Macaca mulatta: one gene and its partners. The protein of the gene in region 1 interacts with the protein of each later gene in a biochemical or structural test. Links are inferred from orthologs where the notes say so. Each region holds a gene or a part of one and is shown on either strand. Other genes may lie near its edges. The genes, in order: CDH1, JUP and CTNND1.

The links.
Region 2: the proteins of CDH1 (region 1) and JUP form a complex in vitro, tested with the Homo sapiens proteins (2 studies listed by BioGRID). The link is inferred for Macaca mulatta from reciprocal best matches to the Homo sapiens genes CDH1 and JUP.
Region 3: the proteins of CDH1 (region 1) and CTNND1 form a complex in vitro, tested with the Homo sapiens proteins (5 studies listed by BioGRID and IntAct, with this or other methods). The link is inferred for Macaca mulatta from reciprocal best matches to the Homo sapiens genes CDH1 and CTNND1.

What each region holds. Positions count from the first base shown.
Region 1 is NC_133425.1:64,334,142-64,337,785, reverse strand, and holds part of CDH1 (cadherin-1), read right to left. Parts: intron 3,032-3,644; coding exon 2,917-3,031; intron 1-2,916.
Region 2 is NC_133421.1:66,113,953-66,118,318, reverse strand, and holds the start of JUP (junction plakoglobin), read left to right. Parts: upstream 1-1,565; 5' UTR 1,566-1,668; exon of another isoform or gene 1,669-4,330; intron 4,331-4,366. UniProt on the Homo sapiens protein: Common junctional plaque protein. The membrane-associated plaques are architectural elements in an important strategic position to influence the arrangement and function of both the cytoskeleton and the cells within the tissue.
Region 3 is NC_133419.1:15,586,338-15,589,981, forward strand, and holds part of CTNND1 (catenin delta-1), read right to left. Parts: intron 3,106-3,644; coding exon 2,952-3,105; intron 2,076-2,951; coding exon 2,007-2,075; intron 558-2,006; coding exon 430-557; intron 328-429; coding exon 177-327; intron 1-176. UniProt on the Homo sapiens protein: Key regulator of cell-cell adhesion that associates with and regulates the cell adhesion properties of both C-, E- and N-cadherins, being critical for their surface stability.

The DNA of each region.
Region 1 (3,644 bases):
CACCCCCTCTCGGAGGTCCCACACTATCAACACCTCCATTCTCAGCTTACTTCACGCTGGACACTAATTCCCCAAACACCTTTTTTGTTTTTGTTTTTTCAGGTTATTGAGGTGAAAAACAAGGGGAAAAAGGAAGAGAAAAGACCAACTGTGGATCAGATTACAGAATTGCTTTATGCCTCAGTTTCCTTACTTACAAAGTAGGAAGAATAATACTGCCCACGCTCCTAATGTTCTAGTGAAGACTAAATGAGGTAAGATATGTGAAGCACTTGCCCCAGAGTCTGAGGCAAAAGTGAGTATGTGTCACTATTAATTATTATCATATTAGTGTTAATATGTAATAACATTATTGGTCAGACACAGGAGCTTAGAAGGGAGAAATAAAAACCAGACCAACCTACCCTTGGTGCTACCAAGTATCTTGGTGCAGGAAAACAAAATCACCAGCCTTAGCACTGGGCCACGCCAGACACACGCTCAGATACAAGCTCGTTTCTAGCCCCTGCCTTGCTCTCCAAGGCTAGATCAAGCTTGCCTCCCCCAAGAAAACGCTCCTCAATGCCTACTGACATCAAAATATTCAATCCCCAGCACTCTGGGAAGCCAAGGTGGGTGACTCACTTGAGCCCAGGAGTTTTAGATAACTTCTGATCCAATAGAAAGCTCTAGAGCACACAGAGCAAATATACTTCATCAGTCGAGCTGTAGTTTCTCTGTAAAAAACTTCGAATGACTTCCAAGTTCAAAAAAAAATTTAAAGACAACAGCATGATTGCTAAAGATTCATGTGGTCAAAGACCAGAAGAATAGACACAATGGAGGTGTTCCCTCAGGGGAATTGTGGGTGATTTCTCCTTAAAAAAAAATATGCCTTTTATTGTGATATCCAATCAACTAAAATCATGAGAGAGGAGAAAGTGGTTTGATATAAAGTAAGCACTCGGGATTCAGTGAATTCAGAAGAGAAACTAGCCCCTTCCCTTGCTCCCTGGACAACAGTGGAGTGGAACAAAGCAAACTCTAGATTATCACAAAGATAAGCCTAGAAGTACATTGGGTGTATGCATTTTCATCCTGAGTCAGAACTACCATGCTTTTTTTTAAAAAAAAGATAATTATTCCTGGCCAGGCATGGTGGCTTATGCCTGTAATCCCAGCACTTTGGGAAATTGAGTCAGGTGGTCTCCTGAGGTCAGGAGTTCAAGACCAGCCTGGCCAACATGGTGAAACTCCTTCTCTACTAAAAATACAAAAAATTAGCTGGGCATGGTGGTGGGCACCTGTAATCCCAGCTACTCAGGAGGCTGAGGCAGGAGAATCATTTGACCCTGCGAGCCAGAGGTGGCAGTGAGCTGAGATCACACCATTACAACACTCCAGCCTAGGCAACAAGATTAAAACTCTGTCTCAAAAAAAAAAAAATCATTATTTCTTGGGGGAAACAGTACCTGTAACAAGGTATTTTGGTTCAGGCACAGTGTCTCAGGCCTGCAATCCCAGCACTTTGGGAGGCTGAGACAGAAGGATCCTTTGAGCCCAAGAGTTCGACACCAGCCTGGGCAACATGGAGAGACTCCTGTTTCTAAAAAAAATTTATTTTAGTTTATTTTTTGGAACAGAGTCTTGCTCTGTCACCCAGGCTCGAGTGCGGTGGCACTATCTCAGCTCACTGCAACCTCCACCTCCTGGGTTCAAGCAATTCTCCTGCCTCCTCCTGAGTAGCTAGGATTACAGGTGCACGCCACCATGCCCAGCTAATTTTTGTATTTTTTTTAGTAGAGACAGGGTTTCATCATGTTGGCCAGGTTGGTCTCGAACTCCTAACCTTGTGATCCACCCGCCTCGGCCTCCCAAAGTGCTGGGATTACAGGTGTGAGCCACTGCGCCCAGCCTTAAAAAAATGTTAAAATTGGCCGGGCGCAGTGGCTCAAGCCTGTAATCCCAGCACTTTGGGAGGCCGAGACGTGCGGATCACGAGGTCAGGAGATCGAGACCATCCTGGCTAACACGGTGAAACCCCGTCTCTACTAAAAACTACAAAAAACTAGCCGGGCGAGGTGGCGGGCGCCTGTAGTTCCAACTACTCGGGAGGCTGAGGCAGGAAAATGGCGTAAACCCGGGAGGCGGAGTTTGCAGTGAGCTGAGATCCGGCCACTGCACTCCAGCCTGGGCGACAGAGCGAGACTCCGTTTCAAAAAAAAAAAAAGTTAAAATTATCCAGGTATGGTGGCACATGCCTGTGATAACCAGCTACTAGGGAGACTGAGGTGGGAAGGATCACTTGAGCCCAGAGGATGGAGGCTGCAGTAAGCTGTGATTGTGCCACTGCACTCCAGCTTGGGAAACAGAGCAAGACCCTTTTTTTTAAAAAAAAAAAAAAAAAAAAAAAGCTTTAATATCTATAAACAAAAGCCACAGCCCAGTAACCAAGAGAGAGCTGCTCTTCAGTCATCCCAGAGATGGTGCTTAATGGGGCTTGGGAGTCAGGTCCCAGTTCAGATACCTGCTCTGCTGACCCTGGGCAAGTAGACGTCACCCTCTCAGCCTCGGTTTGCTCATCTGTAAAACGGGAATATTCCTGCCGGAGCCTTCCCACCCACCAGGTTTTTGCAGTCTGAAATGGGACACTGTCTCTACAGTGCTGAGGGCAATAAGAGAAATACGAAGGCTTCTAGTAAGTGCCCTCAACCTCTGCTTTTTTATAACATGGTTAACAACCAGGCAGGGCTACCCCCTCCACCAGTGCTCAGTCGTAAACGTTTGGATCCCCAAATCTGTGTAAATTCCAAGGGGTGTCGTTTGAGCCAAGGAGAGAGCTTGCCCATTCCAACCCAGGGGTGTGGGAGTGCAATTTCTCGGCCCCTTTCCAACCCCACCCTACTCCGCCCAGGGACACCGGCGGCGCGCCCTCACCTCTGCCCAGGACGCGTCCTCTCTCCAGGTGCCGCCGGGGCACCGTGAACGTGTAGCTCTCGGCGTCAAAGCCGGGGTGGCAGGGCTCCGGCTCCTGGCAGAGCCAAGACGAGACCTGGGGTGGGGAAAAGGTAGATGGAACCGGGTGACTCGGAGGGTTCCCTCCAGCTCACCGAAACCAACAACGCCGCCCCTCCCTCGCTCCCGGCGTCGGGATTGGGGGAGGACCCCCGCCCCCAACCTCGGGCAGGGCGGGCAGCGACGTCACCCTCCCCCACCCCGAAACCTACGGCCGCCAAGCCCCCAGGAACTCCCGGAAGGGGGCCGCCGAGTCACCCCCTCGAGACCTAGCCCATCGTTCTTTTCGGTCTCCTTTCTCATTTTATTGGAGATGTCTTTATTCTCCCCAACCCCACTTTCCTTAGACCGGGAATGCACCACTCCTTAGAGCGAGGGGCGCTCCCACCTCCCTCGACCCCACTTTCTTATCCCCGGGACTCCCACTTCTATTTACGACCTTTCTTGGCATGGCAGGTGCCTTTATTTCTACGGATGCCCCTCTCCTTCCCTCGAGGATCGTGCCCACGACTCCTGGCTCCCCCTCGACTTGCACCGGGGCTCCCCTTCTCCACACCCCACCCCCCACACCCCGCTCCACGACCCCCGCGCCAGCCCAAGCCCACCCCGCGGACTCGGAAGCCAGACGCCCCCGCCTCGGTCTGCGCTGG
Region 2 (4,366 bases), on another chromosome or scaffold:
GGCCTCCCAAAGTGCTGGGATTACAGGCATAAGCCACCACACCTGGCCGAGAAGTTCTTTCTGATCTCTACCCCAGGCTCTCCTATCGTGGAGGGATGTGCTACCCAGTTTCTTTTTTTCTTTTTCTTTTTGTTTGAGATGGAGTCTCACTCTGTCACGCTGAGGCCGGAGTGCAGTGACATGATCTCAGCTCACTGCAACCTCCGCCTCCCGGGCTCAAGCAATTCTCCTGCCTCAGTCTCCCAAGCAGCTGGGATTATAGTTGCCCGCCACCACGCCCAGCTAATTTTTTGTATTTTTAGTAGATATGGAGTTTCACCATATTGGCCAGGCTGGTGTTGATCTCCCGACCTCAGGTTATCCACCCACCTTGGCCTGCCCCGTTTCTTTCATGCCTGGGTTTCTTTCAGATCTGCTGCTTGATGTTTCCAAACCCATCAAAGCCTCCTGACACCAATACTGTATTTTTGTGCCAATTAATTGTTCTGTCTCTCCTCCCAGTGTTTGTGCCTTTTCTCTGCCCCTTCCCCCATTGCCTTGACATTTTATGTCTATGCATTTTATGTTCCATGAAGGGAACAGCTGGTTCGATGGTCCTTCAAATGAGAAGGAGGTTCTAGCTTGGGGTGTGCCACTTTGTAGTTTTGTGACTTATCTGAACCTCGGTTTCTTCATCTTTACAATGAGGGTCGTTTTCTCATCTTAACTATTTTTTCAGAGCTGTCACAATAATTAAAACAAAAATACCATTAATTTAAATTCTAACCTTTAGCAGTTTCCGAGTGCTTTCACAAACCTGACTTCATTTAATCCCCACATACTCCAGTGAGGTAGATACGGCTAATGTATCCAGTTTACAGATGAGGAGAAACAGGGTGAAGTAACTTGTCTAAGATCATACTAAGTGGGAGAACACAAACCCTGGCCTTCTAATTCTAAATCCCAGGAGTACTCCATCTTTGGGGGGAAAAAATCCCAACCCAGCACAAAGCCTATGAAATGCTATACAAATATGTGATTACTACTTTGGGGCAAGGATGAATAAGCCCAAAGAAGCATCATGCTTGACGCTGAGTTGGCTGGCCGGTGAAGGCGTCTGTCCCTTCCCTTAGTATCCCCTGACTTACCTGTTGGACAGGTAGGGGGAAGGGGAGAGTAATGAGTCTCACCTGCTCAGAGCAAGGGTGGGGCAAGACACACCCCATCCCTTCCATTGGTTTTTTCCTTAGTCTTACTGACAGCCCCTTGTCCAATCAGGAGGAAGTAACTTTCTATCTGCCAATAGGTGCAGTGTTAGGATGAGACCTCAAGTTAGAGTCCATCCCTAGAGCCGACTGGCAGTCCCTGGGGCCAATGGCAAGCGGATAAACAGAGGCGGCCGTGGAAGAGGACTGGAGGTGAGGCTCCGCCCCTCGACGGGACAGTCAGGCGAGACAGCCAGTGAGCTCGCACCAGAGGGTGGGCGTCACCCCCAGGGGCGGAGCTTCGAGGTGGCGAGGGGCGTGGCTTGGCTGTCAGGTCTCTTTGCCTTTTGTTCGGTTACTGAGTTGCTGCCTTGGCCAGAGTCCGGAGCAGCCGCCGCCCGACCACGCCGAGCTCAGTTAGCTGCCTGCGCCGGCTCCCACCCCGGCCCGACCCCGACCCGGCCCGGCCAGGCCCCATACTAAGGTGCGGGCGATTGGGAGCAGGTATCGCTGGGGAGAGAAGGGGTGGCGAGCGCCCGCGAGGCCGGTCCCTGCCGTCTCTGGGCAGGTGAGGGCGGGTGCCATGGAGCGCCACCCTGCACCGGCGGCAGGGGGCGCGCTGGGGTCCTGGGCGCGGCGACCTGGGGGTCGCGCGGTTTGGGCAGAGCGCGCCTGGGAGCTCCGCGAGCCAGAGATCTGAGCAGGGCGGGAGGGATCCGGACAGGTGCCTCCGGAGTCGTGCCTCCCCCGGGGCCCGCGCCCCTCGCCCGACGCCGCGTCCCTGACTCTCGCCCTGAGCTGGTGGGGGAGACTTTGCCCTGCTTTGACTGCGTCCCAGGGCTCACGCTGCAGTCAGGAATTTACCGTTTGGGAAACTTGCTGTCGCTGGTCTCTGGGGCCACTCTCACCCCACCCCACGCGTCATCCTCGCTTTCCCTCCCTCCCTACTCCCCCAGGCCTGGGTGGGGCCCTATTGTCTGCGCCCAGCTTGCCCAACTGTGGGGGCCGAGCACACATTTTCCTAGCGACGCTGGCCCCACCTGCCGAGCAGGTGAGCGCACGGAGTCCAGAGGCCCTGCCCTCCAACTCCCAGAGCCTCGTCCATACTACCTGCGGCGCCTCCCTCCACTCCGGTGGGAGCCGGGCTCTGGCTTCTTCAGCGGAGGTGGGATGGAGTGACAGTGGTGGGTGCAGGGCTCGACCCAGTGTCCAGCTGGTGTGTCTGGCATCCGTGGCTCGCCCTGGAGTCTGGGGGGTGGGGTCTGTGCACGGATGAAGAATTCAGGGTCACCTGGCCCAGTTTCCAGTAGCTGTGGTTGCTAGAGTGTTGGTAGGGGAACAGGACCCGTCTTCTTCTCTAACCTCTTATTGTTGGAAAAATCACCCAAAACAAACTTTGCAGGAGGAAGTATTCACAGCAGCTTGATCTGGGGGTTTTCCTGTCTCCTTGCCCAAAACTTCCTTTAGGCTTAGGGGGTCCTTCTTGGTGCAAAGCCCCTTCCCCTAGCCGGCCCCTGGCTGAACCTGGGCGGGTGCCTGCGCTCCGACCCTGTCTTCCCTGCCCCCACCTTCATCCTCTTCGCTGGGCCCCAGGGGCCTGAGGTGGGGGCCGGGGTGGGGGGTGGAAAGTGCTGAGAGGGGAAGCAGCTTCTTCCTTCTCTTCCTGCCTCCGGGGACCACCACACCCCCTCAGACGAGGCCTGCGTAAGCGGCTCTCTCTCTCAAGCTCTGCCCCCTCCCCAGGAATGGGGGTGGGGCAGGGCTGGGCCAAACTGAGGAAGGTGGGGGGAGTGGTTGTTCTTGTCTTTTTTTTTTTCTCTACCCCATCCCCCACATTACTTAGCTGGCTGGTAATTGAGGCAAAAGAGCATGAGGCTGTGGGACTTGCCTTCCATTTGATTTCTGAATTATGAAGGTGCATGCTTTCTGGAGGCCTGCACAGACCTTTCCCACCCCCTTTCCTGAAAGAATTTGACAGGGAAAGTGAGACCGGAGGAAGGCTTTTTGGGGGAAGGTTTCTTCAGTGCTAGACTCCCTCAGGCAGAGCTGCATCGGGCCCCTGCCTTCCCTGCTCCCAATTTCCTGAGACCCCCCCTACCCTCCCGAATTGGGAATCTTGACCAGGCTTTCTACCCCGGTTTAAAAAACAATCTGAAGTGTGGTCTTTTTGCAGGATTTGGAGCCCAGCCTCCTTGGGGAACAGAGAGAGAATACCACAGTTGGGTTCTCTCTCAGTCCTGGGGGTGGGAGAAAGATTGCGGGGAGCGGGGATGGAGAGTGCTTGGAGGGGGAGAGTCTACCACCTCTTTCTTTGTTGTAGATGGGGGAGTGAGGCTGGGGGCCCAGACTCAGCCCCTTTATCCTGGGTGGGGATCACGCTCAGCCCGGGGCTAGGGGGAAGTCAGTGTGGGAACTCAGATCCTTTTCTGCTGGAGGAGGGGGGCGGTGCACCTCTGGGGAGCAACAGGAGCACGGAGTTTGGGCAAAAATAACCTGCTTTCCCTCTTCTCCCTGCCAAGGTGGAGGAGGGGAGGGCATTGTAATTATGTTGGCTAAATGATTAGTTTAGCTAATCTGGTTTGTGGCTGTGATGAAAAGATAATACTGAGGAAGTACTACTAGGAGGTGCCTGGTGAAAACTGGCCACTGACTGGACTGGGGGACGCGGAGGAGGAGAAGGTAGGACCCAATTAGTCATTTCTTGCTAGATCAAGCCCCAGCTTGGGTGATTTGAGCCCTCCCACCCCCACTCCACCCCTCCCTTGCACCCTGGCTCCACTCCATTCCCTCTGGAACCTCTGGGCTGCCAGGGCTGAGGCTTTGAGAATGCAGTGTATAGGAACGAAAAAGGTCGGGCTAGGGCTGCCAACCTTCTTCCCTTCCTGGAGCCACCTTAGAATGAGATCGGTCAATTGACTAGTCTACAGAAGGACTGTTTATTTGGAGAGATGGGACAGTGGGGCAGTTCTGAGCACAGGGCTTTGGGCTTGAACTGAGCTGGGTTTGAGAACCAGCTCTGTCTCTCATTACATTGCCTGAGTCTCAGTGACTTCTTTGGCAAAATGGGAATACAACACCTATCTACCCGGTAAGTACTTGACAAATGGTAACTCAAGATCAAGGTCAGACTTTACAGAAACCAAGCACTTTCTTTTTCTTTTTGTTTTTTTTTGAGGTGGAGT
Region 3 (3,644 bases), on another chromosome or scaffold:
TGCTTTCCAAGAACCATTAAATTAAAACCCTTACCAACTCTCGCATTCATGAACTATGAAGCGGGGGAGGGTCCTTCCCTTCAGTCATTTCAATAAATTCAATAAATTATAGGCATCTGCTGGACTACAAACACTGTACTAAATTTTGAGGTAATAGTTAGCATTCAACTCCTCACCAATTAATTCTTTGTTGCGAGCATCCACAGCCAGGTTTCTCAGTGCTCCAGACGCAGCTTTCACCACCCGTTCATGTTCATTAGTCAGGAGGTCAGCTATGGCAGAAAGAGCCTTCTCTTGACGCAGAGCAGAGCGGATATATCGACCATACTAGAATAGCACATAGAAAGGGGTAGAACAAATTACAAATGGCAGCAAACTAGTTATCTAAGTTTTCCCATCTCCAAATCCATTTTCTAAAAGGTACTTTACCGTCCAGCGCCCAGCACACAAATTCTGGATAGCTCCAGCTGAGGCTTCTAAGATGGCAGGAGTCTTGCTCTCCTTAAGAAGTGAGATGTATATCCGAACCACCTCTGGCTGAAATAAGAGCTCATAGCCTGCACAAAAGAGAAAAAGAAGGCAGAAGGTGCTAATCAGTACCAATAAACCAGGCTCTAGCTGGCTGGAGTTCAGCCTTAATACTCCCGATTGATGTTCTATACCATCAGGTTCCCTAAACTCTCTCACACTCTCTACAGCAAATTTAGAGGCCAAATTCCATGTCTTAAGAATAATGAGGCCAGGCGCAGTGGCTCAACACCTGTAATCCCAGCACTTAGGAGGCCAAGGCGGGCAGATCACGAGGTCAGGAGATTGAGACCATCCTAGCTAACACGGTGAAACCCCGTCTCTACTAAAAATACAAAAAATTAGCTGGGCGTGATGGCGGGCGCCTATAGTCCCAGCTACTCGGGAGGCTAAGAGCAGGAGAATGGCGTGAACCTGGGAGGCGGAGCTTGCAGTGAGCCGAGTTCACGCCACTGCACTCCAGCCAGAGTGAGACTCCGTCTCAAAAAAAAAAAAAAAGACTAATGAATCCATGGTAAGATTGGAACAAATATCAACTCATTATACTCAACTCCTCTCTTTCCTTCCTTCTTGCCTCCTCTCCCATAGCTTTGCCTTTGGTTCTACCATGAGCGCTCAGGGGCTCCATTTAGCTCATTGACAGCACTCAAGGTTAAAAATTCCTCATCTCAAATCAATTATTTCTAACTTAACCCAGTCATTCTTCCCATCTTTGCAATTACTACGACGGTCCATTACAGATTAAACGTTTATAATTTTTATATCCATGGAGAGCTGTGAACTTTGGACTCACTGTATTGATGAATATAAAGATCCAAATTTCTTATAGTAAAGTGTAAAAATTATCTTTTCTTTTCTTTTGGAGACGAGTCTCTGTCGCCCACGCTGGAGTGCAGTGGCGCGATCTCAACTCACTGCAACCTCCGCCTCCCGGGTTCAAGCGATTCTCCTGCCTCAGCCTCCAGAGTATCTGGGATTACAGGCACCCGCCACCATGCCCAGCTAATTTTTGCATTTTTAGTAGGGACAGGGTTTCACCATGTTGGCCAGGCTGGTCTCAAACGCCTGACCTCAGGTGACCTGCCCGCCTCAGCCTCACAAAGTGCTGGGATTACAGTCATGAGCTGCTGCCCCCAACCTAAAAAGTATCTTTCTTAGTAAAGGAGCTTCTTTTAAAAGTGAGGTTTAAGTCTCAGGCACTGTAGTGGTCATTTATGGTTCCCAAATTTCTGCTCTAGACTACCATCAGGACCTTATTCTATCCTCAAGTAACCTGAATAACTGCCTTAACAAGTAGTCCTTTGTAAGTTACTGCTGTAATACTATACAGCTTCCCAATACTTTCACAATCATTTCAGTCTGTAAGTTGGAAAAGAGAGGACAATAAACATATTACATAAAGTCTGCTGTTAAGTTACCAAATATCTTATCTTTGTACTATGTTTATGAGACCTTTGGAGACTGAGAAGATAACTTACCCCGAGCTGGACTCGTTCTTTTAGGGAAATCCACTGTGTCATTTGCTGGATCCTCTATGGGTTTTTTCCCTATAAAAACGAAAAAGGGCAGGAAAAGGGGTAAGTCAGTTTAAAATAGAAAAGATTCCACCTGGCACATTTTTCATTCTTCGGTCAGAACCTTTTGATCACAGATGCACCACGAGGGACAAAGGGCAGGTGGGGGCAACTTGTTCCAGCAGGGGACTATTCAGAAACAAGGATAGAAAACAGGCAGCAGATAGGTAAGATGAGGATGACCATTGTTGATGCTATTGTCCTGAGCTCTGATAATGGGGACTGCTGCCCAGAAACAGCATGCCATGAGCTATTAGCTCCAAAGAGCTAAACCTGTTTCAGTGTCTTCCTCAACTGAACTTTCCTACATGCATAGACAGGGAAAGGTTAGGCAAGGACATACTAGGGAAGCTAAAACCAAAACATGCAAATTAGAAGTAGATAAGCACCTTAAAAGACTCCACTCACCTCTGGAGAACCACTCATCTTCCAGTGCATCACCCAAGGCAGAAAGCAGAGAAGAGAAAAGAAATAAGAAAAATGCAGGAGAAAGATGTCAGCAGAATCATGGGCAAATAAGCAGGGAAGCACAGAGAAGAAAAGAAAAACACAGAAAATGCAAAGGACGTATGGGGAAGAAGGTCCCAGATTAGTTGAGTTCTCATTTTCCACTGCCCCACTCATTGATACCACCACCACCACCACCATCACCACCAACACACCACCACCATCACCCCACCACCAAACCTTGAATGAAGCACACAACACAGGAGAAGCAGCAAAGCAAAAAGACATCTGTAACCAGGCAGACTCCCATATTGCTTGCCAAGTATTTTGTATCTTAAGCTAAAGTGTTCCTTCCTTTCCCTGTCCCACATTAAAGAGTAAGAAACAGGAACCAAGACTCACCTTTGCCCTTCTTGGCCCCAAAGCAACTGGCAGCATGTGGCCCAGTATTGTTGGCAACATTGGGAGCTGCCTCTTGGTAACGCTCTGCCTGTGGGATCTCCCGGTGAACTTGATATGATAAGTTCCGAAGGAGGCAAACACAGTTTTCTACAAGCTTAGGTACACAAGATAAAAGGGCCAATGAGAAAAAAGAATGTTGTGATTTCTCCACAGGTTTCCATGACTCAGGTATTAAAATGTTGATATTCAAATGCATAACCCAATCCATAACTTCTCAGGATGCCTCTTAAGCGCTCCAGGCTTCTTGAAATCCCTGTAGCCTCAGGCTAATGGAAGGCCCAACTATGGACTTATTGGCTTCTGCCACTATTTGGTGTGTGACTGAAACTTGGATCATCATTCTTACTACTTAGACAATGTACAATTTTGGAAGACAGCTAAGCAGCTTTAAAATATATAGGTGACAGATTTTTAAAAAAAGAAAAAAAAGCTGGGCACAGTGACTCACACCTGTAATCCCAGCACTTTAGGAGGCTGAAGCAGGTGGATCACCTGAGGTCGGGAGTTCAAAACCAGCCTGGCCAACATGGTGAAACCCTGTCTCTACTAAAATACAAAAACTAGCTGGGCATGGTGGCAGGTGCCTATAATCCCAGCTACTCAGGGGCTGAAGCAGGAGAATCGCTTGAACCC